Linked DNA regions of Drosophila melanogaster. The protein of the gene in region 4 interacts with the protein of the main gene of each other region in a pairwise test. Each region holds a gene or a part of one and is shown on either strand. Other genes may lie near its edges. The genes, in order: CG12620, CTCF, eIF4E7 and CG16812.

Region 1 (6,462 bases), 3.9 Mb from region 4:
GATTTTCCCGCTTTTCCAACAAAGCATCGTTTACGGGAGCAACCGCAGCGCCGGCACAAGGTAACCTGCACACACATCCCGACCGTATAAACCATATAAATAAACAAAGCTCTGGCCGTCGTTCATCGTCCGGCGTCCCTACGCACTTTGTCGTGGAGCGAGAAACGAGAGGCAACTGTCGAAACTGTCAGGATGTCAAATAAGCGACAGTGGGTGGCAGACAGCAGGAAGTGCGGTGGCTCCGAGTCCAAACCCAACGCAGTGCAGAGGAGAGTAGTACAGGACCAGAACCAGAACCAGAGGCGGTATCAGGATCAGCAGAAGGACCACAACCACCCTAGGCATATTTATTGGAAATCTGAAACAGCTCGGGTGTCGACACTGCGAGAAATAAGTTACTTCTTTTCACTATAAAACCGATTTTGTATGCTTTGCTTATGTGGGATTCTTCACACAGCTTATTGGCTTAAATTATATAAATGCAGGAATAATTAGTCATTTTTACTTTGTTTATATATTTGCTAAATGTTTTTACTATGAATAATGTCGTTAATTAAGTTTCTTCATAAAATGGATAGTAAAATATTCTTAAAATAATTCTCCAAGTGCTCCTCTTACACCCACTCCAGTGGCGAACACTCCTGACCATGTATCCGTGTCCGGCATCGGGCACGAAGAATTTGTTACATGAAATTGTTAACGGGCTGAAGCCGATGCCTCGACTCGACTGCGTTTGATGCCTTTTGCTGATATATGGCCAACCTTTGACATCCTTTAAACGAGCAACATGATGCTCTAGATTATGGCCAGGAGATTGGCCCGACTTTTCCCCGTTGACTCCTCGGTTTGCCCGGATTGTCTCACTTGGGCGATACGTCAATGTGACAGTTTGATAATTTATTTTGTTCAAATTTTGTTTTTCCTTCGCTGGGGAAAAGAGCGCTTAAATAAGTTATCAACGTGGACCGACGGCCATGTAAATGGCAGCACGTAAATGAATGAAATTATTTTGCAACAAATTAAGGCAAATTTATGCGTCAAGGCGACAGGACAGGGGATTCGAGATGGGTAAGGGAGATGGGATCCTGGAAGCCTTGTAACAGGAAACACAATCCACAGGCGAACAAACAAAAGCGAAAACGGAACAGCACGAGGCGAAACGAAACGAAACGAAACCAACAAACAAACAAACAATGAAACGAAAAACGACAGCCTCGAAGAGTGAAAAGCGACGAGTTTTCCTTCACCGAAATCTGAGCAAGGCTTTGTGCAACAAAGTGAAGAACCCGGCTGCCCCTTTTCCGCATTTACAAATCCCCCCACCCCTTTAACGGGTCTAACTGCGTCCGCTCTGCACTTGTACACATCCTGACATACACATATATATTTTTTATTTCCCAGCCAAGTGAGGCTGGAATCAAATGTCAATAGAGAGTACATTTCATTCGGTCGGGTGACTGGGTTTTTCTGCCCAGCGCCACCCACTTTTCAGTTCCCCGCATTGTAGCTGTCACAGTGTTTGTTTGCGGATTTGAAGCTTTTCCTCTTTGCAACGCGCTTTTTTGCCACGCCTGCCGTTGTCCTTTATCGAAGGAGCGGCTTGAGTATTACGAACTGAATGCAACACCTCGATATTCTCGATACCTTATTTAATCTCATCGGCATTATCAAAATGAATCCACTTATCTGCTTTCATACTTTTTGGAATATTAATATAGTTTCTTGTATTTAAGAAATAAAATGTGTCAATCAATGTATTGCTTTTCTTAAAGAAATTTTTCCAATTTAATTTATATTTTTTTGGGAAATCGTCACCTAGAGCATTTCGAGTTCGTGTGGCCTTCCTCAAGGATCTCTAATCTGCTTTCTGGTTCGGATTCTGGTTTTATTTCCGGGCATCCTCCGATGCTGTCCGCCCCTTTGCCCGCCCACCGACTAGATGCTTTGGACTTGCTTTTTATTTGCACGGAAATGTATAATTTTTCCGAGTCAAATGTAAATACTTTTAGCGTATTTTTGTGGGATTCATCGCCTTGAATTTTTTGTGACTGGGGGCCTGGGGCGTGGCACATGCAAATGACACGCCTGATGCTGCGTAAATAATTTTAGCGCTCTCTCTTTTGGCATAAAATGCTAAATAAACATTTTATTCTTGGCAGAATTCCTTCTTCGAATGTGGGTCAAATGGAGTGTCCATAAAAGGCGCTTTTATCCCAAAACCAGATGCCGAAAATACAGTTTAATTGTATGCATATTGGCTGCGGTTCCGTTTGAGTTGGTGGAAACGTCACGTTTCAACAGCTCAATTTTCGGTTTTGCGATACGCGAAGAAACTTTTGCAATCCAATTAAATTCATCGCAAGTCGAAATCTCGTTTTGACAATTTATGCATCCTTGTGAGACGCCACAGGCATATTTATTCCCATCGATGGCTAGACAATGACGCCTGCGGTCCAATAAATAACCGTCCTTTTGACACAATCGAAATTGGCTCGCAAACAAATTTCTTTTGTCGAGATATCGCCCTTTTTTTTGTGCCCACTCGCACCAGAGGTTAAACACTTAACCCGCGTTGTGGGAAAAATGTGACATCAAATTATGGAACGTAGGCAAATCGCGGCCGTTATCAAAAAATGTAGTAGCCATGGTAGCCAGACTGAAGTCCACGATATGGTTTGATTAAGCGAAGTCGTGGGGTAAATTTACAAGAAAAAAACGAAACGCAAATGAGAGCGTCAAATATATTAAGGCATTTGCATTGGAAGTATTATATTATTTTTCTAATGATCATGATTAAAATGAATTACTGAATTTTTTCCGATATAAGGCTAAGCTAGTTAACATAGATTAAAACATCAAAGCTAACACATCTAGTTCAGTCTGGGCAGAAATAAAACTTAAACGTATAAACATTTTATATATCCCAAAAATAAGAAGTAGAACCTAAAAAAAAAAAACAAACACATTTTGTCTTATAACCATGACGACTAAAAGAACAAGGTTCGATAAAATGAACCTGGGAGTACCCGTTCACTCGGACCCCTATGAAGTGGAAAATGAATCGGCCTCGTCAATAAAAAGAGAAACCGGCGAGAAGGTCATGTCTCATAAGGAGCTAATGGAAAAACTGCATAAGGAGGTGAAGCTCACGACGCCGGACTTCTTCGCCCATGATCCATCCTGCAGCTCGGACGACTCCGAAGATTTCGAATTCCTGGAGACTATCAAAGAGCGAGCCAGACGCATATCCTTCGTACGACGCCGAAAGCTGCACTACACTGAGTTCTCAACGGTCGAGTTGGCCAGGCGTCTGATCCGCGAGGAGTTCACAGAGTCATCGGAGAGTCAACTAAGCGTGGATGATGAACATATCTCCGAGATCGCCGAAGAGGAGTGTCCGCCCTGCGGCACAGACTCCGACGACTTACTTCCGTACTTCCAATACGATCGGGCTACAGACCAATCGATGATTTCCGACGACAGTCTGCCAAAGGAGGATCCCGAGCCCGGATTCCATCCCGCCCATCATTGCTATAATAAGCTTATAAGCCAGACTCCTGATCCGCCGATAGTGTACGTTCCCGCGGAACCAGAACCGCAACCGGAACCGCAACCGGAACCGCCAGTGGAACCGCGACCGGAACCGGAACCAGAACCAGAACCGGAAACAGTACTACCACCAACTGCTCCGGAAGTCATTGATAAAACAGCTCCAGAAGAAGAAAAACACACTAGGGTCCTTGACCGTGGCGAAAATATTGACCTAAAGAATTTGAGCGCCATACAGAAAAACATAAGTTCGAGTGTGAAAAAACATACTGGTCAAAAAACGCGAAATTTATAAACTTAAATTGATTGATGCAATTGATGTATATGGGATCCCATTTCTCATTGTGCATTAGATTAGTGTTGCCTAAATTAAGAAAATGTTTCGTTGGCTGGAAATCAAAATCCAATCCGTATAGCCCAAATGCTGCGAATGTTTTTACTTCATATTCCAGAAGTTATATAAGGCTTTATTTTAATCGTAAAGTCAAATAAACCCATATTCGTAAATGCATACAAGCTAATGTAGACACCAAATAACCGTAATCGCCTCTGATCTCAAATGACTCCATCAACGCTCTCTTTCCCCAGCGCAGCTTTAAAAATATAGTTTTCTCGACCCGGAGACCGCACAATTATTTGGGCCATAAAGGACAAAACCCGCACTAGCGCACACATGAAGGGACGGAGGACATTCAAAGGGATAACTAAGTGTGCACGATAATGACGCCTAACGGGTTCCATTCTTCTCCTTGCTTTTTTTTGCGTGGGTGGATACTAGGAAGATGAGACAATAAGGAGCTAGAAGGACAATGTGCTGAAATTATTTCAAAAGTCTTTGTGTGCGATGAAATTCCGTAAAATACAGCCATTTTGTATTGGCCTTTTAATTTAATAAAATTATTACTCTTAGGGATAATATGGATTGGTTTTAAGTTTACTTTCTGTAATATGTAATTAATATTTAGTTAGTTCAATTCATAAACAAGAATTATGGTATTTTCATTCATCACAATAATTGTCAAGCAAGTGCCGATTTCAATTCTTTTGTTTGTTTTCAGATCTGTATGAGCTCAACTTACATTACAATATTTCATTTATTATCCATACCCATTTTTTTCATTTATGCAAGCCAACATGGCTTTGTAGCCTGTGCGTGTAAATGTTTTTGATTCTTTTAAAATATTTTAATTACGGAAGTTTACACATACTATTTCTTTCTTTTGTTTTCTTTTTTGTGTCGGTCATGTTTTCCCTTTCGATACCGGTCATTGTTTTGTTTAATTTTTGTATACACGTTAAATATGTATAGTGATAAGAATTGTGCAAGTTTTGTTTGAAAAAACTGCCACGTCCGTCGGTAACTCTCTTACCTCCATGAGCTAAAAAACAATTTACAGCCTACACTTTTGAAAACCGAGTCAATTACTCTCCAATTATATTCGATATCGGATAGGCGAAGAGCCACAGTATCTTGTTTTCTCTGGACATGTTAAACCTAACTTAAATTTTAAGAGATGCAATATAAATATAAGTTTAACATCAAATTTAATGCCGATATATAACTTCAAATCTAGCAGTATCTTGTGTGGCACATCACTTTGGTGGTGTAGCAATTAAATTCGTCGGACTTAATAGCGTTTTCATTTAAGTAATCTTCAACAATTTCAACCCAGACGTTCTCGATTTTTGGCCAATTTGGCGTTCCTTTCGGCCATGAAATGGAAATAAATATCACGTCATACGATCTGCAGCAAAATCGTCATTCGCCTAATGAAGACTTTGTTGTCTATGAAGGCTAAAGCTGGAAATGTCTAGACATTCTCGGTTGCTTGAACCCCTCAGCTGTGGATGCAGTCCCAGCTGCTGCCCGTCTGGAGTTAAAAAACAAGTCGAAGAGATTGTAATCCCTACTTTAGTATACTACAGCACTTTTATGACATTTAATTGCCGTTTGCTTTTAGTCCACACACACGCTTCTTTTCTCGAAAGTTTGTTTTTAAAAGGGATACAAGGCTAAATAAGTATTGAAAAGCGAGTGCAGCTGACCTTTCCTTAAATTGACCTTAAATTGAAGCAAGCAATTCTCTATTAAGTGATGTGAAGAGAATCCTGTAACTTGGCACACCTCAAACAAACCAAATTAAAATTAAATGTATTTTAGGTCATCGCAATGTGCTGAAATTAATCTTTAGCATGGCAATTTGGTTAATTTTTTATGGGGCCCACAAAGTGACACGTCATGCCGGCAAATCAAGCGAAGTGGTCTGCAAGTGCCTGGTCCTAATCATCATCCAAACATTGTGGCCAGTCATCGTGACTTATGTCAACCCGTTCAAGTGTGTCCCTGCTAGAGTCCTTGCATGTACATGCCTCGTGTAGCAAGGATACAAAGCAATTGTTCACCGCAATCGGCGGCATTTGGAGTGCTTTAGACTTAATGTGCGTCGAGGGGAGCCAACTGCAATCGGCATTCGTCGATGGCAATCGAAGTTTCTAGCGATAGGTGATCGGTAATCAAGGATGGAATGAGTTCCCATGACTGTTTTGCATTTGAAGTGGCTTCATGTTGCTTTGTTGCTCTAGATAGAACTGCTTAGTAATTCAATTAAATGCCTAATTAATATTAAGTATTTTTGCGGCTTTGTAACACATTTATTTGAATTTACGACTTCCATTTTTTTTAGTTTTTTATTAAATTTATATGTAATGATATCATAAGCGGTAGACCAAATCCCCCAAATGCCACCTTGATTGATTGAGTGATTGATTGACCTTATTTGTAAGCACTCATGGGACAGTTTACCCTTTTGACCAACTGCCATCGAGCGTGAAGCTGTCAAAACGTGGCTATGGAACGGAGCGGACGGTATCCATAAAATATGGCTTAAAGCCAGGCATCACGTGCCATGAGTG
Region 2 (8,157 bases), on a different chromosome or scaffold from region 4:
GATCATTTACGTAATGGTGGTAACTGACGAAACGGACGTCAATCGCGCCGAGGACGCCAGAGTCTTCAGCGTGCACCCAGTCTTTCGGGCCCGTCGATGCGTCGGTGAGTCATCCTTTGCATACGTATGCAATTTACAATATATTTCCTATCTATCTATCAATGGATCCATTTAATACTCAGTTGGCAGTAGTGGCACCAGCAGCGTCAGCTCGAATTGCTGCAATCTGTTTATCGACGAGCTTGGTCGGGTCTACCAAAACTGGGAGATGTATGTGACCACCAACGAGTTGCCTGCCGGAGTGATGGTGGCCCCAGAGAAGGGTATTTACCGCTTGGTCAGGGATCAAGTACGTCTGGATAAGTACACAACGCCGGCGGGCACGACCAACAGGAAGGTGCTGGGCTACCTGGATACTGGGTCGGCAGTCGGAGGATTTTTTGCTGCCTGTGTGCCCATTGCTGCCCTGCTAACGCTGCCCGTATCCGCTCCGCTGATGGGCGCAGCGGGAGTAGTAGGTTTGGCCAGTGCTGGATACGCCGCATCGCGGTCTGGCAGCAAGCTATTCGATCGCAGCCAACATGAGCAGTCTATCAATGTGACGGACCGCGAAGCGCGTGGTCACTGGTTGGGCGTGGCTGGTGGCACTGTGGGATTGGCAGCGGCTGGGGCCACCACAGTCTTGACAACGGCCACAAATGCTGGACGCGAGGTGGGAGCGGTGAGTCCTTAAACCCCCCCCCCCACGCAATCAACAATGGAATAAAAATGTTAAATATGTACTCACATAGATCACCCAACTGACTGTGAATAGCATGAACATATCCTCGATTGTGGTATCGGGCACTGGAGTTGCCAATGGTGTGCTGGATCTGATATTGGCAAGTCTCGAAACTTAGACTGTGATTAGATTAGGCTAGATAGATTAAACTTATGAAATTTATGATCTTCCACAGAAAGCAAAAGACGGTGACGAAATAGTTGCGATGGATGTTTTGCAATTGTCCGCTTCGTTGGTGCTGCTCACGCACAGCGTCTACAACTTTAAATTGGCTTCGACCATAATTAATGAGACAAGCAATGCTAATATTGCCGACTATCGTAAAAACCTTTCTAATAGGCAGCGGTAAAAAACGTTCAATGAGATACATTCTGTCGTAAACAAGAGTTTCTACTTGTATTTTTTTTACCATCAGGCGAACCTTTGACAAGGCTGCCAAGGAGACCGTTCGGATGCAAGGCAACACTCGCGGCAAACTGGACATTATACGCAACGTAAACGAAATTTCGCCACAAGAGTTTAATGATCTTTTTAAGATCAACAAAAACTTGAATCAGGAGGGCGTGCGATACTCATTCGCACCCGATGGCAAAGGATTTTTACTAAATGGCGATGTGCAGACGACGGGTGCGGAATTGCGAGCTAGTGTACAACATAACCAAGGAGGGAATGTCCTAGGCAAAGTTAGTCAGCCCATTCCCGGTAGCCATGCGGGTTCTGGTCGCCTTCAACTGGGCGGCGTTAATCAGGTTTCCCGTCTAATCGGACCGCTGCCCACATCCCATCCTCGACAGGAACCCAGTACCTATGCCGCCGGCGTGTTCGCCTTGGAGCTAAGCTCTGTGTTGGTGGGCGGTGTTGTTTTCGTACTGGAGAAATACGGAAAAATCATATTTGAGCACGTGATCAATGCTGAAAGTTTTGAGAGCCTAATCAACATCATGGCCAATAAGCTTGATCCAAAAGTCTTTGACCATATAATGCTATTGACCAGAGCCTTCATGGACACCATGCTGGAAGACCTCACCTCGGTGCTAAAGTTCTTTATATCAACGGAATCCGTTCTTTACCGCATTTTGTTGTACATTTTACGGAACTTCGAGGACGTGCAACTTTCGGTTATTGCGGATCACACTTGTGAGATCGTAGAAGCCGTAAGGGTGTACTTCATGTCCCTGAATCCAAATGCGTTCCCGGGTCTCCTTCAGAAGTGTCCGAAATGTATCGGCCACTTCAGCGTTTGTCCCTTGTAAGTGTTTAACGAAATGGTTCGTTTAACATTAGAATTCAAGGGCCATCAGCATGTCATAATTGATGCCCAATTGTTTAACCACAAAGAAACGTTAGCTAGTTCCGCAAATAATCAATGGGATAACTTACTTAATATGAGCACAAATTGACAAAGATGAAATTGTTTTAGCATTTAAATAAAGATTTTATTAACCCTGTTGAAATAATTGTAATAAAAGGAGAATTTTGAACCGGAATGGTTCTGATTTCCGGTTTTCGAACACAGAATATGTGAATCATTCATTGTGTAAAGGGGATTTTTTTTAATCTTTAAGAGTAATTCCTAAATTTACAATCTGATGTCATCTATACTATGGTATAATAGCAACAGCCATACCACCAAATCATTGAATGCCTTAGAATATAAGTCATAAATTCAAGTATCCCATAAGAACAACCCCAATTCTGGTGACAATAACAAATCCAGCCTGCCCTAATGTAACCATTAACATCTGCTGCCGAATCCGTTATTCCCACCAAAGGGTCAAAACCGCTAACGCAGCTCAAGTTCTCGGCTGATCAGTACCCATGAGCGATCCATCCACTCAAGAGGGCACCCAATCCAACAGACATAAACATCCGCAGGGGCTTTCGCGACATCAAAACCGCTTACGCAGCCCAAATCCTTGGCTTATCCAGTATCCAAAAGAATACAGATTATATTTTTTATCTAATAAATTACCGTGGATTCGTTATTATATATTTTCTGTTATCAAGAATTAAAGATAGTTTATATAGAGATGACAAGATACGAAACCAATCGAACTATCGATAGCTGGCGGTACTGATGCTACATGTCGCCATCTTTTATTAGAAATGGGCAGCTGTTTCATGTGGACGCAAATTAAATTGTAGATTTAACAACAATAACGACAACCGGCGTCCCTTTCAACATATTTTTTATTGGCAACCAAGTGTCGGTAGGTGAATTGAATCAAGCGGGATTACAATTGGTCGTTGCGAGAAATCGATAAGCGCCCTCTTCGGGATCCCGGTCATCCGCTGTGGGTCGCCACCAAAACAAATCCAATTTGTCCATAGGAATGCCAAGGAGGACAAAAAAGGACGAGGACCCCGAGGATCTGCAGACCTTCCTCAACAATTTCCATAAGGAGATCGAAGGCAACAGCGATGAGAAGGTGGTAAACACGATTTTGGAGGCCATCAGCGCCGAGGCCATCGACTTGGATGAAAATGGTGCGGAGGCTGGTGGATCGAAACCGATGGAGGAGGCGGAGGCTGATTTGGATCATGCGGAGGAAGCGGAGGAGGAGGAGGAGGACGACGAGGATAAGTATTTCATAGATGACGAGGGCAACTGCTATATCAAGACTACGCCCAAGAAGCAAAAGGAGCTACAAAAGAAGCTCAAACAGGCGGCTGCCAAGCCGGGGAAAGCTACACGTTCCGTGGTCAGTACAGCCACCAATAAATGTGAGTTACCCTTTGCCATATATGTGCGTGCATTTGTATCACTTGCTCGACTCTTTTTAAGCCATCAATTTGCGGCCAGCCAAATCGACACCGAAAGCGACTACTTCGAAGCCTCCCCCAGAACCCAAGGCAATTAGCGTTCGACCAGCCCGAGCAGCTGCAGCCAAGGCGAAGCAATCGGCGATGCCACCGCCACCGGCATTAGTGGTCAAAGTACCGGCACCCAGGGGCAGGCCTAGAAAGAACCCTGTCATACCGAAGCCTGAACCCATGGACTTGGAGCGGGAGCTCGAGGAGCTGGTAGATGAGCCCGACATCAGTTCAATGGTGACAGAATTGTCGGACTATACCGTAGACGAAGCTGCCGTAGAGGCAGCAACAGCTACGCTGACGCCAAACGAGGCTGAGGTCTACGAATTTGAGGACAATGCGACGACAGAGGATGAGAATGCCGACAAGAAGGACGTAGACTTTGTGCTAAGCAACAAGGAGGTGAAGCTGAAGACAGCTTCTTCTACCAGCCAGAATTCGAATGCATCGGGACATAAGTACTCATGCCCACACTGCCCGTATACGGCGAGCAAGAAGTTTCTGATCACGCGCCACTCACGAAGTCATGACGTCGAGCCATCCTTCAAGTGCTCCATCTGCGAGAGGTCCTTTCGATCGAACGTGGGCCTGCAAAACCACATAAACACGCACATGGGCAATAAGCCGCACAAGTGCAAGCTCTGCGAAAGCGCCTTCACCACCAGCGGCGAGCTGGTCCGTCACACTCGCTACAAGCACACTAAGGAAAAACCGCACAAGTGCACGGAGTGCACATACGCCAGCGTGGAACTGACCAAACTGCGCCGCCACATGACCTGCCATACGGGCGAGAGACCATATCAATGTCCGCACTGCACCTACGCATCGCAGGACATGTTCAAGCTGAAGCGACACATGGTTATCCACACCGGCGAGAAGAAGTACCAATGCGACATCTGCAAGTCGCGATTTACGCAATCTAACTCACTAAAGGCCCACAAGCTCATCCACAGCGTGGTCGACAAGCCCGTCTTTCAGTGCAACTACTGCCCGACGACTTGCGGTCGGAAGGCTGACCTGCGCGTTCACATTAAACACATGCACACCTCTGATGTGCCAATGACATGCCGGCGCTGTGGCCAGCAGCTGCCCGATCGCTATCAATACAAGCTGCACGTTAAGTCACACGAGGGCGAAAAGTGTTACAGCTGCAAGCTGTGCAGCTACGCTTCGGTCACCCAACGCCATTTGGCCTCACACATGCTCATCCACCTGGACGAAAAGCCGTTCCATTGCGATCAGTGCCCGCAGGCCTTCCGGCAGCGTCAATTGCTGCGCCGCCATATGAATCTCGTGCACAACGAAGAGTATCAGCCACCAGAACCGCGCGAGAAACTGCACAAGTGTCCGAGTTGTCCGCGGGAGTTTACCCACAAGGGTAATCTAATGAGACACATGGAGACTCACGATGATTCGGCGAATGCTCGCGAAAAGCGGCGTCGCCTTAAATTGGGCCGCAATGTGCGGCTGCAGAAAGATGGCACTGTCATCACGTTGATCAAGGATCAGTATGTGGATATGGACCGGGACCAGGAGGAAAACGAAGAGGATGACAACCCAGAGAGCTATGACTTGGCTGAAATCGAGCCGGAGAACTCGGAGGCTGAAGACGCCGATGATGATGTGGAAACCATAGTCAGTGATCCGATCCGTCAGAGAATCAAGCCAGCACCTATCATTATCAACAAACAGGCCAGGCTTGCCGCCTCCGAAAAGCAGCCGATGATCATCAATCAACGCCTCCGAAGTCAACGGGGCACCAAGACGTTCCACATCAAGGAGGAGCCGGACAACTCGGACTTCACCGTGGAATGGCAAGGGGATGATGGCGAGGTAATGGTCGTAGAGCTGGTTAATGGCGACGAGGAGGTGTTGGTCAAGCACGAACCGAGCGCCAACTCCAAGATCAGTGCCAAAAACTGCTTTGGTTTCGAGGTTAGTTGCAAAAACTTTAGCTGGCATTTGTTCCATTACTCAAAAATTTGGTTTTCATGCAGGACGACGATGATTATGAGGAGTATGGCGATGGGGAAAACGAGGTCGATGGCGCTTCCCAGGAGTTTCTGCAGCTGATGGATATGATTGAGCAGGACTCTTAGTCTCCTGAAAACAAAAGCTAATGGATAAGTAATTATGACTAACTTATGTACATACCAAGCATACAATAACGTATTTCTACGTTACATTGTTTTCTATTTAAATACACATTTAAAACAGTTAGGAAACCTATTTTTACTAGGTTAAGAAATGGATATTAAAAATGTATTCTTTCTAAATGAATGTATAATTCTGGATAAGCAGTTAACATGCCGATATGGCGACTATTTGTAAATGATCCCCGACACTTAAACTTTAGTTGACAACTTGGCATAAATATTTATTTAAATACATTTACATATATTTCAATGTTTTCATTAGTAGTATATAGTATATGGGCAAAATGTTAGGTGCGTTTGCGTTTAGCTGCATCTGGGCGTGCACTGTAAATTCTCGGCTATTAGTTGTCGTTTCTACCGTAAAATGTTCGCATAGTTTATAGTTTTCCATTTCCACTTCAGCAATCTGGTTAATTTTCTTGTTATTTTTCCGGTTTCTCTTGCCGTTTATTTCTTTTTGTTTCTTTCATGTGTATAACTACAATAAAAATATATATATTTTTATATATAATATATGTATATATTTTTTAGGTGGTGCAATGTGCAAAAACCTGCCGTGCAGTGCATCATTATCATTATTTCAATATATATAGTTGCGTTCATTTGTGTTGATTTTATAGTGTCTGCATAAAACATTAACAATTTGTCGTTAATAGTACATATGTATGTATGTATACGAATCGCATTTGTATAACAATTAAAATGGAACAACGTCGATAAAGGAAGTGCACATTGAGTTCCGAGTGAGTTAGATTTGATAAAATGACACTTAGAAATTGAAAATTGCTTGCAGAATTGAGTTACGAATACGAAACACACTTAGAAATACAAGAGCTAAAAAATTGCATATTCTATAATTCAGTAATGCTCTGCGAGATTTGCTTGATCCCCACCCCCCCCCCCCTCTCCCATTCGTTGGGCGAAACTAAAACTGGGGAAACTAAACGAGCTAACTAACTACGTAACTTTGAAGCAAAACTAAATTAAAAGTATAAAGTAAAATGTAAAAGTAAAAAAACAAATTCTTGGAAAGCTGTAATATGGCTCTTTGCTAGCTCAACGATAAGCTTGGCTTATATCAATTTACTTTTGGCTTAACAATTTTCTGTAAGGCTGCTGTTGGTTTTGTTATCCATCCCATTTCATCCGATTCACTATCAAATCCAAATCCTATCCTCCTCCTATTTCCGTTCTCATCGCTCTGGTTTCGGTTGACAGTAAGGTAGGGGTTCTCTGTGGGCTTTTCGGTTTGGCAAAGGGTAACATAAATCTCAGAATATCTTCAGCTTCTGCAGGAAACGCAACAGGGGCGCACTGAGGCACGCAGGCGTCGGCTGGCTGCTGGCCTGCTGCTGTCCCGGATTGGCGGCAAAAGAGGCTCTGCCGTTCGCAATTCACGACTGCTCCCTCTTTTGCCTCTTTGGCTGCTAATTGCAATTGAGCGTGTTCTGGTTGGGGCTGCTGCGTGAGACGTTGTTGTGATTGATCTGGTTCGACTGCGTGATGCTGGCGCTATCGCTCGTCTTCCACGACAGCAGCTTGTTGAGCAGGCGGTCCATGTACGGATTGCTACCCAAACGAGCCACCTGTGTGGGTTGAGAGATTACTTTAGTTTAGCACAAAACACGTAGCAACGATGGGATGTGTGCGAATTTCTACTTTTAACATCATCAAGACTTCCAAGCAACTTCCACTTCCCATTGCTTGTCTTCAAGTACTAACCTCCGACCGAGCCTCTGCGTCGAGCGACTCCAGAACCTTGCGTGTATACTGAAAGCTGCCCAGCTTTTCCAACAAGGTGATGCAGTACTTCTTGACCTCAATGTCGTGCGTGCGCTGGCGTAATATGTCTGTGGATATAACCATAAGCCATCAGCTTAATGAGTGAAAAGCCTTTGGTTGAGGTCAAGACGTTGGACTTACGTAGAACCTGTTTATCCTGCTTTTGGGTGCGAACCGCATGGATTACCGGGAAGCCGAACTTGCCCTCCGTCAAGTCCTCGGCGAAGCTCTTGTTCTCCGTGTACTACATCGGAATGTTATCACAGATTAACAATGACTTATGCATATTGCCAACCAATCTATACACTCACCTCTTTCAGACTCAGATTGCAATAGTCGTCGCGTATCTGAAAGTACAGGCCCAATATAGCCGTCAACTTCGAATAGTCCTCCTTGTTGGAGCTGAACAGCTGCATAAGGCGAATGGCCAGCATAAAGAGGCCGCCAGTTTTGCGCACAGTCATCAGCTTGTAATCCGACTCGGATGGACACGTGAAGCTGTCGCGCCAATAGATCTCCATGCCCTGTCCACGGTGCAGCTCCAGCAATTGTTCGGTGTACACCTTGGTAGCCTGCAAGAAACGCGGATTACTTTGAGCTTCATAGTAGAGGTGGATTTGCGTA
Region 3 (8,969 bases), on a different chromosome or scaffold from region 4:
CGCACTACGGCCCTGAATTAGCTATGGCCGTATAATTAGCACAATTTCGGGCGGCCATGTGACCCCACTACACTAATACACTGACAAGAGAGTGTGAGGCCACATTTTTGGTGGGCTCTCATTGAACTTTGAACTACATATGTGTAGTCATTAAAATGTTGACATTAAATATTGTATCTATAGAATCGTCATTGATGGATTAATATGCATTATTCATACACCTAGCTAAAGTCAAGTTGCTTTTCTTTCTGTGTACTTGTCCTGGGGCCTCGTTCGAGTATTTCCATATGACATGTTCGTCTCTCGTCCGGATCCGGAACATAAATGTTCTGTCCTGTCTTGGGTAGGGGGCAGGGTGGAAAGGGGGGACGTGGGCGGAGTGCCTTTATAGATTATGGATTGTTTATTGGGCCAAGTGTCAGAATTGAGGCACCCATTTGTCCATAGCTGATGTGAGTCCTTGCCACAATGAGTGGTTTTCTTTTTTTTGCTATATCTCTGTGCTTAGGATACGGGCTCTTTAAGCTGAGTGATTAGTTCAGCTGGCAAAATCGATTGGGCTATTTCAATGGTTTCGCTTGGGAAATCAGTTATAAGTTATTTAATAACTTAACTACGCCCCATTTGTTTTTGCAAAAAAAAGAAACCGATTTGCTTTAACAGCTTAACCTAAAGAGCGTTAGTTTAAGCGCTGGAAACAAAAAAACCTCTTAGCAATCCCCCTTTGTATCTCCTAAATTCCCCTTCGCCAATGCGTGTGATAACCAAAATCAAGCCGCAGCCGACTATTTTGCATACGCAAATAAAAGTAAATAAATTGAAATTCGCCAGTGCCTTGGTGTGCCTCTTCTTCCACTTCCACTTACCTGTGTGTACATGTGCGTATATGCATATATGTATGTACATATTTTCCCCTGTGCATACAGCACACGCATGTAAATCGACGTTTTACAACACAAATGCCACCTGTGGGGCGGCCTTTTTTGAGCCCCATAGTTTGGGGTAGTTGGCAGCCTAAAGGAACATTTTCGTTTCTATCTTATTTTTGGGGCCGATTGGAGGAGGAACTCGTCCGCTGCACATAGGTGAGCGCAACGTTCGAAATTCAACTAGTATAGGCAAAGCTCTCATTTGACTACTGATATTTGAGATACATGCTACCAGTGAAGCCGATTTTGGTTCTAGTTTTGCGCGAGAATACATAGAATACTTAAATTTTAGAGCAATCCCAAGTCGGTGTGCGAGTGCCAGACACTTCAAATTTTTTTATTTATAGGACAGAAGAGAAAGGACTTTTTGGCAATTGTTCTGGGTGAAGTGGGCGGCTTGGTTTCGGCTCCTGTTCAGCATACATATATGTTACAGATTTTCCGTTTCGGTTTATTGCCAATACCATTGTTAAACATCGGACTAGTCCGTAAGCCCCCTTACCCACCATCCCCCACCGTTTGGGATCGCAAACCAAATCGATACAATGGCTTCTCGCTTTCGCTTTCCTCGGTTTTCCATCTCTAATAAGTGGGTGCCCAACTACAACGGTTGGTGGCCATAGAAAATCGTTAAGGTGTTTAATCAATGGCTCTGGCTCGTTGGCACAATGGAATGAAATTAAGTGCCATAAATCAATGGCGAAATATAGGTGAGCTCGCTTTTATGGTGCGCACTTGGGCCAAATCACCTGGGCCTTGACCTTTTTCGTGGAGTCACCAGAATATTTGGTAAATAGTAAATCCTCGCAAGAGTGGCTAAAAAAAGCTCAGGAAGAAATTAGAAGGTAGGAAAATGGTCACAGCAAGGCACAGAAAATACATTAAGCACATTAAAGCCCGTCAAATGGAAAAGTGGCCAAGAACAGCAACAAAAGGAATTCAGTGCCAGGAGAACGCACCTGCCTCCACTCCAACATCATTGGCTCCCCTTACGTGGTCACCCAAAGCAGTCACAATAAAATGCCAACTGCCAATAAATGCCAATAAATCAAACAATTGAGCACGGCCAAGTTGTGTGACGCCGTGCGCCAAATAAGTCCAACGGCCAATGTCCAATGTCCAAATGTCCCATGTCCGCTGACCGATGTGAAAGCGAACAAAAAGCTAGCAACCAACTTCTGAATGCCCGCCCCAATGGTTAGCAGTGGAGCAGACAAAGAACATCCAATACACCGATTGGAACTCAGGAATCGAGACAAACCATGTTGCATGTTCTTGGAATCGGGTTAAATTAGTAAAGAAGGTGCATAGTTAGAAACATTTCGCAGTCTCTCTCCAACACTCTCCAATTTCACACTTTAAAACAAACAACTTCTTGACCAAATAGTTATGTATTTATTTCGTCGCTCTATAGGAGCAACATTCAAATTTTTATGTACAACGTGTACGTGTACGGATGGTTTGACTAGAGATTTGGAACCCAACTAACTATCGATCGATGGCTGATCACACCTGCTTGACATTTCAAGTTCTTGTGAAAAAATACCGAAAATACTGAAAATGTTTCGATTCGCAATTGTCTGATGAGAACCTATACAGTGTATATTCTCTTCACAGTTGATCCCAGTTTATCCTTGGAGTCCTTGTGCAACTGATACTCCAGCACGTATATGTTGTCCATGCGTAGAACCTTGCGTAAAATGCGTCCAATTTCAAGGACTGTAGTCTGATTTCCCCCGTCAGCGTTCCAAATAGAGATCTTGTTCGACTTTCCGCGAATATTGACCACAACGCCACAAAGATCGTCCGAGTGCTTACAGGCCTCTCCAATCAGACAGAGCATGGCGTCCATCCAGAAACTGTCCAGAGCCATCTTGGCGCTCTTGGTCAAGTTGATGACCCAGCGTCCTCCATTGACATTGGCCTCATCCTCCCACATGGGTCGAATGCCCTTCTTGAACAGGGAGTAGTCACTGCCCAGCATAAGCTCGGATGGGGGCTTGATGTGAGTGATCAGGCTCCAAAACTTCTCCACGGTATCGAAGCTTGTAACCTTGTGCAGCATTTCTTCCCAACTTTTATTTCGATCGTTCTCTAGATACCACAGAGTCCAGCAGTTGTTGAGTGGATGTTGAGGATCCTCGACCTCCAAAAGTTCGGCGTTCTCCGCCGCGATGGTCAGATCATCATCACATTTATTGTTCAGTGACAGAAATTCTAGTGAATTGTCAAAAGCGACCACCGCATCTTCTTTTTTGGCCGGTGGACATGTGTTCTGTTTAATCCTGGGCTCGAGCCTCAAGCTCAAAAGCTTCTGCTCGGATAACCGCATTAGGACCTTCTGCCCTAAAAGATTTTCTTGTGTGATTATCTTTCCCTGCATATTCTTTTCGATTAGCTTCTTGTCCTGCAGATCCTTGTCGAGCACATTCTTCCTATATTGTGCACTAGTCGACTGCTCCTGTTCAGGGCTATTTTCTTTCTGCTGGACCATCTGTTTTCCTTGGCCTTTACCCTTCTCATTGTCATCATTTCCCGTCGACTTTCCATCTTTGCCCGGATTGTTGCTTCGACTGCTCTTGCTCGTCTGACTGGGAGTGCGTGGCGCATTCTTTTGATTCTTCTTGCCCTTCCGGTTCCCCTTGCCACGTTTTTGGGGCTCTGATGGCGACGTTTTGTTTGGATCATTCATCGGTTCTTGGGTCTTTTCTGGTTGAGTATCTTCAGTGGATTGAGGAGCTGCAGCAGGCTGGGTAACATCAGTTGGTGACTCCACTTTTTGGGGACCTTGTGTGGGATATTCATTGTTGTTCGCACAGCTTTTAAACATTGTTCTCGGATTGGCAAAGTCCCTCATCCTGTAAAAGCTGTTGGGAAGCATGGCGGCTTTGTTCGAGGTCAGCAACGGCTGTAGAGTTATACGGAAATGGCGAGGTTAGCGCTATGTTTAAACAAACAAATCTAACAAAAAAAAGGGTTAATATAATGGCGATTTTTGGGATCTTTCATTTTCGTAGCTTCCTATACAATTATATATATGATGAATCCACAAAGCCAAGCCAAACGCTCTTTCTGAACTTCCGACTAATGAGGCAAACAAGCCAACATGCCCCTTTTCTCTAAGACGTGAGCTGGAAATTTCTTCTTTGGAAGCACGAAAGGAAAAACTGACCAAGACCAAGGGACGTGTGCAGAAGTTGGCAACTTTAGCAACAAATATTTACACACCCCCCGAACTGAATGATTTGAGTGGGTGCAAAACCCCAAACACACGGGTGTAAGGTAACACAGCACGCATTTCTTATTAGCTGGGTCAAGTTGTGCTTGCCCCTTGGAAATAACCGAGTAAAAGCGTTTTTCACACGCCAAAATCTCCGATAGAAAAGATTACGATGCCTTGGTATTTACGCATCTTTTAAAATCATTAAAAATTCTCTACATTTACGATATGCAGCGGACGAAGGAATCTTTATGTAATGGCATCACAAAAGTAAACCACCAGGAGAACAAACTTTGATTTGACTCTGGCTGCCATAAGTTAAAATGGGGTCAAAAGGACTCGAATTTATGAGTGAGAAAAAATCAATCAGAAATTGGAATCAGAAACAGAATCCAAGGCGTGGCAAATGTTTGAGCGGACTTGGACTTTGAGCGAGTGTTGTGCTTTCACGCTTTTGGCAAGCAGTTTATGGCCATTTTATTTGACCCGATTTTGTTTTAATGGAATATCTGTGCCTTAACCATGGACTTCATATGTACATTTGTATCACTTGGCATGGGCTAAGAACTGTACAGATATGGGAATCTCCTTTCACTTCTGCCATACAAATTAGGGAAACAACAAAGGCAACACATTGCAGGAGGTTTTCCTTCTTAAAAGCCGTTTAGGGATCTCATACCCGACATTTCCAAATGTTCCTCTTTTAACTTAAATGACATCAAAATGAAAAGCAGGGCCAAAACAGAAACAGAAACTACAAGACGTGCGGGTGCACTTAGCGAAAGTATTACAGAGATCAACTAAATTTTATCGCGACAGTAGTTTAGATTATAGCATGTAATGAACTGCTTTTGAATCTTTATGTCACTGTACTTTGGCGATCTAGATTCATTTCAATGAATAATTTACTTATGGGAGTAGTCGAAAGCCACAATAGAAGGCACCTTGGATTTCTCTCAGTTCCCGCAAAGCAGTTTCGCCCTTCTCAGTTCCTATCGATGCAATTTTTTATTTGGCCCGATGCGATGTAAATATTGCATTAGACGGGGCCAAAGTGTTGGGCAAATTTATTGGCAGCACATAAATCGAGGACTCGCCCTCAACGGGTCGGTTGTCGTCTGTTGAAAAAGTAAATGTTCTAAAGGTAAATATGCACACAGCGAGGAAGTGGCACTCATTCAGTTGAACGTTGGAAGTGGGAAGGAAGTTGAAGGAAGGTGGACTACTCTACATTGGCATCTGTGCTCGCCTTCTGTGACCTATGACCTGTGAGCCATCGTCGCTGGCTGAAATGCCGAAATGTTGAAATGTTCAAATGCCGGCTGCTGACTGCTAGCTGCCTCGAAAAACTGATGAAAATGCAAAAATGTTGTTCCCAGTCCTTGCCTTTCCCCTCGGCTGCTATGCCAATTTTAATTAACAAAAAACATGAGCAGCTCCCTGTTGCGTTGTGTGTGTTTTGTTTAGCTCTGTTTTGTTTTGTTTTGTTTAGTTTAGTTCAGCTCTGTTCTGTTTTGTTTTGTTTGGCTAGTTTGAACTTTGTTCCTCGTATTCTTGTATGCCGGTTGCACTAGACGGGTGATGGGGTTAAGCAGGGGTAGCTCCATCCCCACTACCGTCAATCCGCTCAATTGCTCTAGCCCAACTTTTTGCATACTTTCGGGGATTCCCAGTAATCGGCGGCAGCCAATGAAATCTAAGCTGACCGACAGACAAGACATACTACATACGACAAGGAACACACTACCTTATTTGTAAACGAAGATGACGAAGGAGGAGAAACCCAACGAACAGTTCTAATGCCATAATTAATCACTACGAATTGGGTCTACACAACTTACCTAACGCACTGCGAATATCCGAATACCGCTTAGGTCAATCAAAATATATCAACAAATAAATCGCAATGGTTTTGTAAATAAAATTTGACTAAAACCCGGTTGTTCTCACAACGAAGTGTCGTCCAAAACTGATTTATATTTCTAGACTTACTTTGCTCTGAAAAATGACTTTTGGTAACAAAAGTCCGGTCCCACTTCGGTACTATTCTGCATTTTTTCCCATCACTGGGATCGGATTCGCGAGTATATGGCCTAATCCGAACTCCACTAAGCGCTCCTGGATTACAGCTAAAGCATTTAATTAAAAAATTGCATTGCTTTTGTTTTTGCGCGCTGCCATAATTTGCATGCCAACAACACTATGGCCTGCCTGTTTGCTCATATCATTAATTCGCAATTTGGCCAAATAATAATGAATATTTTCATCTTGTGTCGCTTTTTGCCCTGTTCAGTTCAGTTCAGTTAGCTCTGAGCGTGTTTTTGTTCACATTTGTATATTTGTTCATGTCCGTTCAGACATTCGCATTCAAATGTTTTGCGTTTTGTGTTCTTGTGCAATGCAATTAATTAGAAGTGGATAAATGGTGCATGAGTGTGCGCAAATTAAATTAAATTCTATGTGCATTTTTGCATTTTGCCAGCGAATGAATCGCTCTGAAAAAGTCATTTGGAGTTGAAATGCAAACACGGCATTCTGAAATCATCAAGCATTATGAGAATGCATAAACTGAAATTGAACCATAAACGCATGCCCCCCGCAAGCGGATTGCGGGTATTATCATTATGAAATGCTAAATCGTGTAAAATATTTAAAGAGTCGTTAGCAGTTGCATTACGCAAAAAAGCAACACATCAAATACAAACATCCCAATGCATCAAAAAGGCAATCAGAGGGCGGTTGTGGCGTCGGTGAGTCCACCTCCAACCCGACCAACAGTTCGTGGCCGACTGAAGCAAACGACAAGGATTTCCCAGGACCTGCTCGATCGAGCAACAGAGGGACAGGCAACTTAACAGACAACCGTGGAAACTTAACAGCTGTTGTAGGCAACTCATAGACGGAATCATGAAGAATATTGTGCCAAAATACAGCATTTTCTTTTATTGCTTGCCCAAATAATCACATGATAAACCCACAAAGAAGCCAGATATCAGTAATTTAAATAACTTTGGCACAGCTTAAAAGCCATAAATACATGCATACAGCGTTACACGCACTTGCACTTGCGGTGCATATAATAAGCCTCAGTTTTTGGAAAATCCCTCGCCTTCACACATACCACGAACTTGGGATCTGTGGATGGGACTATTGCCATCAATAGCCTGGCAGAGGGCTATCAATGAAAATCAATGTTCATCATATCGGGGCCGCACTTCACTGAAGGCAATCGTCTGTTTTTTCTGGCCAGGAGCTCTTTCAGCGGAAACGAATGCATTTCCTCGCGGATCCATTCCAATCGCTGCTCCCAAGAAGGCACTAAAATGGTAGGTGGGCTCCTTAAATGTACATTCTGATATTGACACACTTTTAATACACTCTGACCCCAGCGAAAGCTTTTCCTAATTGGAAGTTTTTCTTACTTTGCCTCCGATCTACGAGTAGTTCATCAAATATATCCACATTCGACCGCCTCTGAAGCCGGGCAGCACCATCGTAGCTGTCCAAAAGGAGTCCCAAAAGGAGGAGTAACTTGATGAAAATTATCACGAACAAAACGCGGAACAGGCGTGTGTAGCTAGCCGACATATCGAATTTTGAATGATTCGGAACATACCGTCAAAAGCCAGAGTCACCGCGGCCTCGACATCTGTTCAAAACTGGTGGCGAAATGTTTTCTTTATCCGTCGACTTGGAGCTGTGACCTTATCGATGGAAACTTGTAAAGTCGTACTGGAAAAACACTAAAGCCCCAAACTGTGTTCTGTGTTCAGATAAACAAAAACACTAAAGAAGTTTGCTAATTATTGAGCTAAGGGACACATTCAACCTAAGCTGAAAAAATTACAAGTAGAAATTCACTATTTCTACGTATACCCAAGTTTAATAGGTAGAGCAACACATCGACCAGGAAATGCGTCCAAAAACAGGCGACAGGACCGGAAACCAAAAACGAAATGCAGACAGCAACTAAAACTCAAGCAGACACCAAAACCAGCCAAGCGGAATCAGGCGCAAGTTTTAAGAATAACAAACAAGAATAGGGCGACTCACGTGTGGCTTCGTTGCAAGGATCCGCAGAAAGTTGGCACAAGGTGTGCAATAGACACCGGGAACCCCAGCCCAGTCCCATGCCAAAACCCAAATACGAGTACAAGTAAGCGGCAAAATACTGAGTGCACACGAAAACGCACCTGGGCGCAAATGAATGATGATGATGTTGCCACAACAGCCGCAGGCAGAAGCAGCAGTAGCAGTTTCTTTCACAAGGTTCTCAACAGTGTCAAAAGATGCCATCGCCGTGGATTAATATTGTGTGGATCAACTGTTTTACTTGGTTTAAGTCATTTTTGTTCGAAGTAAGCCCAGTGAACTGAACTTAAATGTTAAAATTGAAGCTATTTACTTTAATGCGCCGTTCTCTGCGCTTCTCAAAAATCCAACTGTATGCACATCGCAACGCTTTAAAAATTTGCTTACCTCTAAGCGCCGTTCTCGCGTGCCTCATATACAAGCATTGCACCGCATCAGTAATTTAATGACTTTTAAGCGCCGTTCTCTGCGCTTCTCAAAAATCCAAGTGTATGCACATTGTAACTCTTTAAAGATTTAATTACTTTTAAGCGCCATTCACTGGGCTTCTCAAAGTCCAAGCATTGGACCACATTAATAGTTGAATTACCTTTAAGCGCCGTTCTCTGCGCTTCTCAAAAATCCAACTGTATGCACATCGCAACGCTTTAAAAATTTAGTTACCTTTAAGCGCCATTCACTGCGCTTCTCAAAGTCCAAGCATTGGACCACATTAGAAGTTGAATTAC
Region 4 (7,355 bases):
ACTTTTAAGAATTCACTTAAAAAGGGAATAGAAAAGTTAAGGATATATGTATATATTTTTAAATTCGTATAGTTGTAAAATAGTAAAAGCAGTAGTAAACGTATTTACAATAATGAAAATTCGAACTGCATTTAAATGTATTAAAAATTTTAAACAATAAATAAACTGCTTTAAGAAAAACCTATATGTGTGTGTGTTTACATATTTATGTACTTGTATATCATAAAACATTATCTTTACTAATGATATTTAAAGTCGGTTATAACCCTTATAGTATAATGCAGTATAGCAATATTCTATTGTTTATATCACAAGATTTTCACTTTGAAGGTTTAGTTTTGAAAAAGTATAAAATGAAAACCTTATAGTCTGATTTCATATAGCAATATTTTAATTTCTACATTACCAATCTTTCATGATCGCAAACCAACAAAAAATAATGTTTAATTAATGTATAATAATCATATAGTGAGTGACATATTATAAACAAAATTTCTTGCTTTTCCATAAATTATGACTCTACTATTATACAAAAAAGAAAAGAATCCAAGAAATCCCGTGAACAGACTAGGCCAGACGCGCACCCATCGATTCGGGAAAATCCCAATAAATTTCCATTCAATGACCATTGTGACTAAGCAGCGGCTGGCATTTTGCCGAAGGTACATAAAGGTATACCCGGATACCCTGGACGAGAACTTAATGAGGCAGATTAGCGGTAAGCGAGATAAGAATCCAGATTCCGAAGCGTCCAGACAACGTGGCCCAGCATCAAAGAGTGGCAAGCGCAGGCGCTGGCCAGATTTCGAGGTAGAAAACGCTTCTCGAGAAAGTCGGCAGGGAAATTTCCAAGAAAACCCGGACGGACTAGGCAGACACAATAGAAGGTGCGAGCAGCGCGCTGCAGCAAATGAAAAATTAATTACAAAGGACTTTCAGATGAGCAGGTAGTAGTAGTCGGCCAGCAATGGTCACAGGTACTCGTAGTGTATGGATGTATGCCGAAATCCTTTTATTCTCCCTACGACAATGCCAACCTTTTGTCAACGAAGAGTTTCCCATAAACAGGGCGCATGTTCGCTCTTAATGATAGTGTTTTCAGGTAGGACCTCTGATCTCGTTGGTATAAAAACCTGGTTGCGCAGCAGCAGGAGCATAGTCGAGCCTTAACAGCCGTCGTGAAAACAACTCAACAAACAACACAACTTAAAACCCCAATCATGGCACCTTCGAACATGGATTACCACAACGAGTCGGAAGTTGGCGAGAGCTACACCCACAAGAAGTTCAAAACCGCCGGCTATACGCACAAAAAGTTTGGCAAGAAGAGCTCCAAGGATATCGCCCCCAACCCAGCCAATGCCACGCCCCTATTCCGGCCATATGCCCTCAGCGAAAATACACCACGAAAGCGTCGCCAGGAGACGGAGCGAGAGGTTCAGCAGATGCAGGAGCAACCATTGTACCATCACCACTCATTGCCTCCCACACCACCAACCACGCCACCGCAGCACCAGCAACATCCGCTTCCTGCCACCCAAGTTCCGGTAACCCAAATTCCGGTCACCCATTCGCCGGTCTTCAATCACCAGGCATACGCTTACATGCTACAAAAGCAACGTGCCGTGCTCCAGATGCGTCAACTGCTCAACATCAATCCGGATGCCAACACCTGGCCACTGGAATGGCGCCAGGCCCTCCAGGCTCTGCTGCAGCAATGAGCTTGATGCGCACATAAACACATTCGAAACGGAGTGATTTGCTTAGCAACCAGTGATATAGACCTTTAAGTGACCGCGGACAGATTGTACAATATGAACGAATGCGAAATTCTAGCGTAATTGTAGATACATATAATTTTAAACAAAATAAATAGTTTTTCATCATAAAGTTAATCAATTGGTTTTATGTTCTGACAGCTTGCGATGGATACTAATCGGGTATTCAAAACAATCAGGAGTTTAAACTGAAATAATGAGATCAGGATCAAAAATCCTGCCATTTCTCATTCATTTCATACATTTCAAATCAACTTCTATTTTAATTCAAACATGTACTGGCAAATTTAATGAGGCTCACATTTACTTAAACTTTACATAGAGTTATTGAAGCCAAGGCGGTCAAAAACAGAGCCAGATTGATCTCGCTGCCTGCTGTGACCAGCATTCATGCTGTTATGGCGCCTTGGCGGAACATATTTCTTCTGTGGCTCCGGTCGCGGCTGTCGATGTGGCGGAGCTGGTGGAGCTCTAAGGGGAGCGGAGGTCGCGGTTTTTCCAAGCCTCCTGTGGACGGGCACCGTGTCCTGTCGGCTAAACAGCTCGTCGCTGCGCATGCGTATGGTCTTGCCCTTAACAGGACTGAGTCGAGCCTGTGGTTTCCTTGCAGGCGATGCCTTTAGGTTGTATGTCTTCTTCGTGGCATGAAGTTTGGATACTAAAAAAAATGTTATAAATTAATTGACTGTGCCACTTCTGCTCTGAAGCAAACATACCCATTCCGAGCCTTGATTTAATATTATTCGCAAAACTTTTGCCCTGCCTATTTTTGTATGCCGATTCGGGAACGATTTCCCGAACCTCCGCTGTCGAGGCGAACTTAACAATCTTTTCGCCGGCTCCCATATCAAAATCTTCTCCGCTGGACATGTAATCCTCTTCGTCACTTTCGAAATCGTCCATGCTATCATCGTCGTCGTCGCCTTTTTTAAGAGGCACTTTGTGAACTAGCATGACCTTTTGCTGCGTTACAGCGGCCACCTTCTTCGCTTTCACAATGGGCGAGTTCTTGGTGACCCCTCCTCCTCCTCCTCCACCACCAACTGTACGGTGTGTGTTTTTAAGGATCGATTTGATTTCCCTGGTCGAAGTGAACTCCTCCGGAAGAGCGCCCTGCTTGCCACCGAGTCGAGCGAAGACCGAATTATTGCTGGAGGTGGCCGCTGTTTTTGATGCGCCGGCAACGTGCACGCGGACGCTGCTCTCGCCCGAACTGGAGACAATGCCCTCCTGCGCCTCGTCCTCGGCATGCAGGCGCGTAAATATGTCCGACTTTTTGGAGCTGCTCACACGATCGGAGTATACTAAAAGAAGATATATTGAAAATTTGATCTTGTTCTTTAGAAATCTGTAATCTTACATTTTTCCCGCTTGGCTAAGATCTGTTTGCTGCGCTCGGTGGTTCCCGAGGGCAGTGTCACCTTGTACTTGCCCTCGTGCTCCGGAAGCACCCGTCTTGCAGGTTTCGCAGGCGGATAAACCTTTGCTTTTGGAGTTGCAACCGGCGCTTTGGGTTTTGGCGATACCGGTCGGACAACTGATTGAACCACCTCCGTTGTGAGGACCTGTTCCCGGGCATTCTGTTCGCAGACGGTCTTTGAGTGCCGCAGGATGGCGATTATATCGCCCATCAAGGTTATGCCCATTTCCCGGAGATACTCCTTGTTAAGATCCAACAGCATGTCGTCCTGGATGCGGTTCTCCACGAAGACGTGGGCATAGCCGGCAGCCGCAGGAGATGGGATGCCGGCCGCATTGAAGAATTTTACCCAGCGTGCTGTAATTTTCGGTGGTGAGTTCATTATTTTTAAAGTGTGTGATATTTTTTAGGTCTTTATTTTTGTTTCGCACCCGGAAGCGTCTGTTCAGTTTGTTTCGTTTTCACGATGTTATAAACCCACCTGCGCTTGACTTGGACATTTTGCGTATTTCTGGTGCTGGCAAGCACAGATTCTTACACGATTCAGCTACTATTTATTTATTTTATTCCCATAAATTCCGTTTTTTGCACTCGAAACTATTTATATATTTTAGAGTTACCACAAATCCTGAACGATTATCGGTATTCGGTTATCGGATATCGATTAGACCATGTGTTAGTGTTGTTAAATTCCAAAATGTTGTAGTAGGGGTAATCAAAGCAAACACTGTTCAAATTTAAATTTAAAGAATCTTATTAAAATCCTTATTAAATTTCTATATATCGTGATTTAATGTAGTACACTTTGGCAATATATGCTTAATTATTTATTTACTCTTACATACGTACGGTGTACATATTAAAAGAAGTTAGTATAAAAAGGATTTTTTCATGGACTGTCGGTATTTTTAGTACTTCCACACTGTTGTTAAAATTGTAAACAAATCCCGCCGCACGTGTGATATTTAGTTAAAATCAAAATAATTGTATTTCTAAAGTTTCAAAATATGTCTGGTAAATACGATCTGCTCAGTGAGCAGGGCCTCCGTCTGGACGGACGACGTCCTCATGAATTGCGCCGCATCAAGTGCAAACTGGGAGTCTTCGAGCAGCCCGATGGAAGTGCCTACATGGAGCAGGGAAACACCAAGGTTCTGGCTGCCGTCTATGGACCCCACCAGGCCAAGGGCAATCAGACAGAGTCCGTCATCAACTGTCAGTACAGTCAGGCAACCTTCTCCACGGCGGAGCGCAAAAATAGGCCGCGCGGCGATCGCAAATCTCTGGAGTTCAAGTTGTACCTGCAGCAGGCGCTAAGTGCTGCCATTAAATCAGAACTATATCCCCGCTCCCAGATAGACATATACGTGGAGGTGCTCCAAGACGACGGCGCCAACTATGCGGTGGCTCTTAATGCCGCCACACTGGCGCTAATTGATGCGGGAATCTGCCTCAATGAGTTCATTGTCGCCTGCACCGCCTCACTGAGCAAATCGAACATCCCGCTCACAGACATCTCTCAGTTCGAGGAGGTATCCGGCGGACCGAAACTAACCGTGGCTGCCTTGCCTACCGCCGAGAAAATCGCCTTTCTTGAGATGAGTGAGCGGTTCCACATCGATCACTTGGAAACCGTCATCGAGACTGCTATGGCGGGTTGCCGCGAAATAAGGGACATTCTGGAGGCAGCAGTCAAGGAGCACCTTCTGCACATGGGCAGTGCCTCTGACTTTGCGAAAGTTGGTTGAAATAAAGTAATCTTTTCTATTCCAATCTTGTCGTTTTTTACAATTGAAGGGCAACAATTATAATAAAAAGGAACCAACATTTACAAATTAAATAGTGTCTTTAACATTGTATTCAGATGGCTGCCCTTGCTCTCTTTTAATATAATTTCTGTTGCAAAAGCACAATTATCCTCTAAAACACAGGCGTATAAATGTAGTAACAAACGAAAGTAGCTCTAGTTTTTCTCAATAGCTTCTTTTGGTGGCTCCCACCTATCCAAGAGCTCCTTTAGTCGTTCCCTTCGATGTTCCAGTTGCAACTTCTCTATTAGTCCACTCAGTTGGTCGCCGCCCTTGAGGAAACCATTGAGGTTGTGCAGCGTACCGCCTTGAATTCGATGATCCGTTATGCGGTCCTGGACGAAATTGTAGGTACGGATCTTCTCATTGCGATTGAGACTACCCTGTTGCGCCTTCTTGGTGGCCATTTTGCTAGCCTCAACGCTCTCCAACTGCTGTTGCACAAGTCGCGACCGTAGACGCTTCATCGCTAGCTCCCGGTTTTTGAGCTGGGAGCGTTCCGATTGCGCCTCCACCGCCAGACCCGTGGGCAGATGAACAATTCTTACAGCCGAGTCGGTGGTGTTAACATGCTGTCCACCAGCTCCACTCGCTCGCTTCGTCTCGATCTTCAGATCCTTCTCAGCGATGTGCACTTGGATGTCGGCGGGTCGGGGAATCACTGTAATTGAGGCGGTGCTGGTGTGCATGCGTCCAGACTTTTCAGTGGCCGGCACCCGCTGTACGCGGTGAACTCCAGCCTCATAGCGCAGCCAGCGGAAGGCATCCTCGCCGCTCACCATCAGACTAGCGTGCCGCAGACCCCCGATGTCGGTGCCCTCGCTGGCAAACTCCTCCCACTCCCAGCCCATGTGCTCGAAATAGCCGGTGTACATTTCGTACAATTCTTGGGCGAATAGCATTGCCTCCTGGCCACCGGCGCCGGCATTCAGGCCGAAGATCAGAGCCGGATACTCCTCATCGTCAGAGAGCGTAAGCAGCTCCTGCAGTAAGGCCTGATCCTGCTTGCCCAGTAGATCCACATAGACTTCGTTCTCCTCGCGCATTAGCTCACGCATATCCTCGTCCTTCTCCGCTTCCATGTCCTTGGCGCTGGTGATGTGCCGTTCTAGTACGCGTCGCTGCTCCAGGGCACTGACCACGCCCTCCAGCTGGGCGAGACGGGCGTAGGATTTGCTGTTTCCGGCGGCGTTGACTCGCACGGCGTAGTATTCCTGGCGTAGAGACTCCAAATAAGCCTGCAGCTTCTCGTTCTGAATGCTCAGCGGATCCGTGCTGGCCCAACGGCGTGCCAGGTAACCCAGTCGAAGGTTTAGTAGTTTGCGCGATATCATTTTGTCAGCTTTTCATTGAAAATTCATTGAAAATAAAATACAAATAATTAAATAACAACAAGAGGTGGACCAAAGATGATAGCAGCGATTACTATCAATAAGTTCTGGATAAAAACTGAACTTATCGATATTCAGGCATAGTGCAACTTCTATCAACATCGATAGTCGCCCAAAAACATCGACTCCAGTTCCAGCTACATACTAAAGTGCATTGAAAAGTCAAAGAAATATGCCAGTTTGTAAATATTAAAAACACTATTTCATCTTAATGGGGAAATAGCTGTCTTAGTAGCGGACTTCGGTTGTTTTAATTTGTGATATGCTAACCTTTTGCCTGCAGTCGTTTGTATTGCGTGTGTGGGTGTGTGTGCTCGCCTTTTGATTGGAGAAAAATAAACGGACTGCGACAACAACAACAGCAGCAGCAGCAACAACAAAGGGTGAAGTGAGCGCAGAGTGCAGCAATTAAGTTTAATTAAGCCAAACAATTGAATGCGAAGAGTCTGAGCTGTGCTGTCGCCCCCGAAAAGTGCATTTATTAAGGCGATATCGGATTCAAGATCGCCGAAAAGTAAAAACCCAACAGTTGACGAAATGCCACCGTTGAAAACATACCAGATACACGAATACAATGGCAATACCAGTCCGAATGCGAATGCCAATCAGAACGCCAATCAGAATCCCACCGGCGGCGGCGGCGACGGTGACTTCTTTGGCCAAAATCTGGGATCTGGAGCCACAGCGGCCAGCCATCGCACAAACCTGCCCTCCTACTGCAACGCCCAATATCCGTTCAAGGTGCTTTCCAATCTCAACCAACTGCGCGAGCAGTCCCGTTTCTGCGACGTGGAGATCATCGCCGGAATGGCAACATTGAGTGCCCACCGGGCTGTCCTGAGTGCAGCCAGTGCCTACTTCGAGGCCATGTTTCGACCCGAGCTCGGGTTAAATGAGGTCAAGCAAAAATCCGTTGTGCTGCACACAATCGACGGCGATATCCTGCACATCCTGCTTG

The links.
Region 1: the proteins of CG16812 (region 4) and CG12620 interact in a two-hybrid assay, tested with the Drosophila melanogaster proteins (one large-scale study listed by BioGRID).
Region 2: the proteins of CG16812 (region 4) and CTCF interact in a two-hybrid assay, tested with the Drosophila melanogaster proteins (one large-scale study listed by BioGRID).
Region 3: the proteins of CG16812 (region 4) and eIF4E7 interact in a two-hybrid assay, tested with the Drosophila melanogaster proteins (one large-scale study listed by BioGRID).

What each region holds. Positions count from the first base shown.
Region 1 is NT_033779.5:17,084,745-17,091,206, forward strand, and holds CG12620 (uncharacterized protein), read left to right. Parts: upstream 1-2,896; 5' UTR 2,897-2,980; coding exon 2,981-3,844; 3' UTR 3,845-4,442; downstream 4,443-6,462.
Region 2 is NT_037436.4:7,351,415-7,359,571, reverse strand, and holds CTCF (CTCF), read left to right. Parts: upstream 1-2,858; 5' UTR 2,859-2,991; exon of another isoform or gene 2,992-3,112; 5' UTR 3,113-3,114; coding exon 3,115-3,505; exon of another isoform or gene 3,506-3,566; coding exon 3,567-5,530; intron 5,531-5,592; coding exon 5,593-5,694; 3' UTR 5,695-5,994; downstream 5,995-8,157. Other genes in the region: pst (pastrel), read left to right, coding at 1-104, 183-721, 792-881, 957-1,126, 1,197-2,034; qm (quemao), read right to left, coding at 7,179-7,337, 7,474-7,601, 7,675-7,777, 7,845-8,105.
Region 3 is NC_004354.4:1,156,296-1,165,264, forward strand, and holds eIF4E7 (eukaryotic translation initiation factor 4E7), read right to left. Parts: upstream 6,095-8,969; 5' UTR 5,991-6,094; intron 3,838-5,990; 5' UTR 3,811-3,837; coding exon 2,521-3,810; 3' UTR 2,304-2,520; downstream 1-2,303.
Region 4 is NT_033779.5:13,219,072-13,226,426, reverse strand, and holds CG16812 (uncharacterized protein), read right to left. Parts: upstream 3,841-7,355; 5' UTR 3,699-3,840; coding exon 3,680-3,698; intron 3,556-3,679; coding exon 3,139-3,555; intron 3,083-3,138; coding exon 2,495-3,082; intron 2,437-2,494; coding exon 2,093-2,436; 3' UTR 1,882-2,092; downstream 1-1,881. Other genes in the region: CG15480 (uncharacterized protein), read left to right, coding at 1,221-1,721; Ski6, read left to right, coding at 4,206-4,946; mRF1 (mitochondrial translation release factor 1), read right to left, coding at 5,162-6,340; CG9426 (uncharacterized protein), read left to right, coding at 6,935-7,355.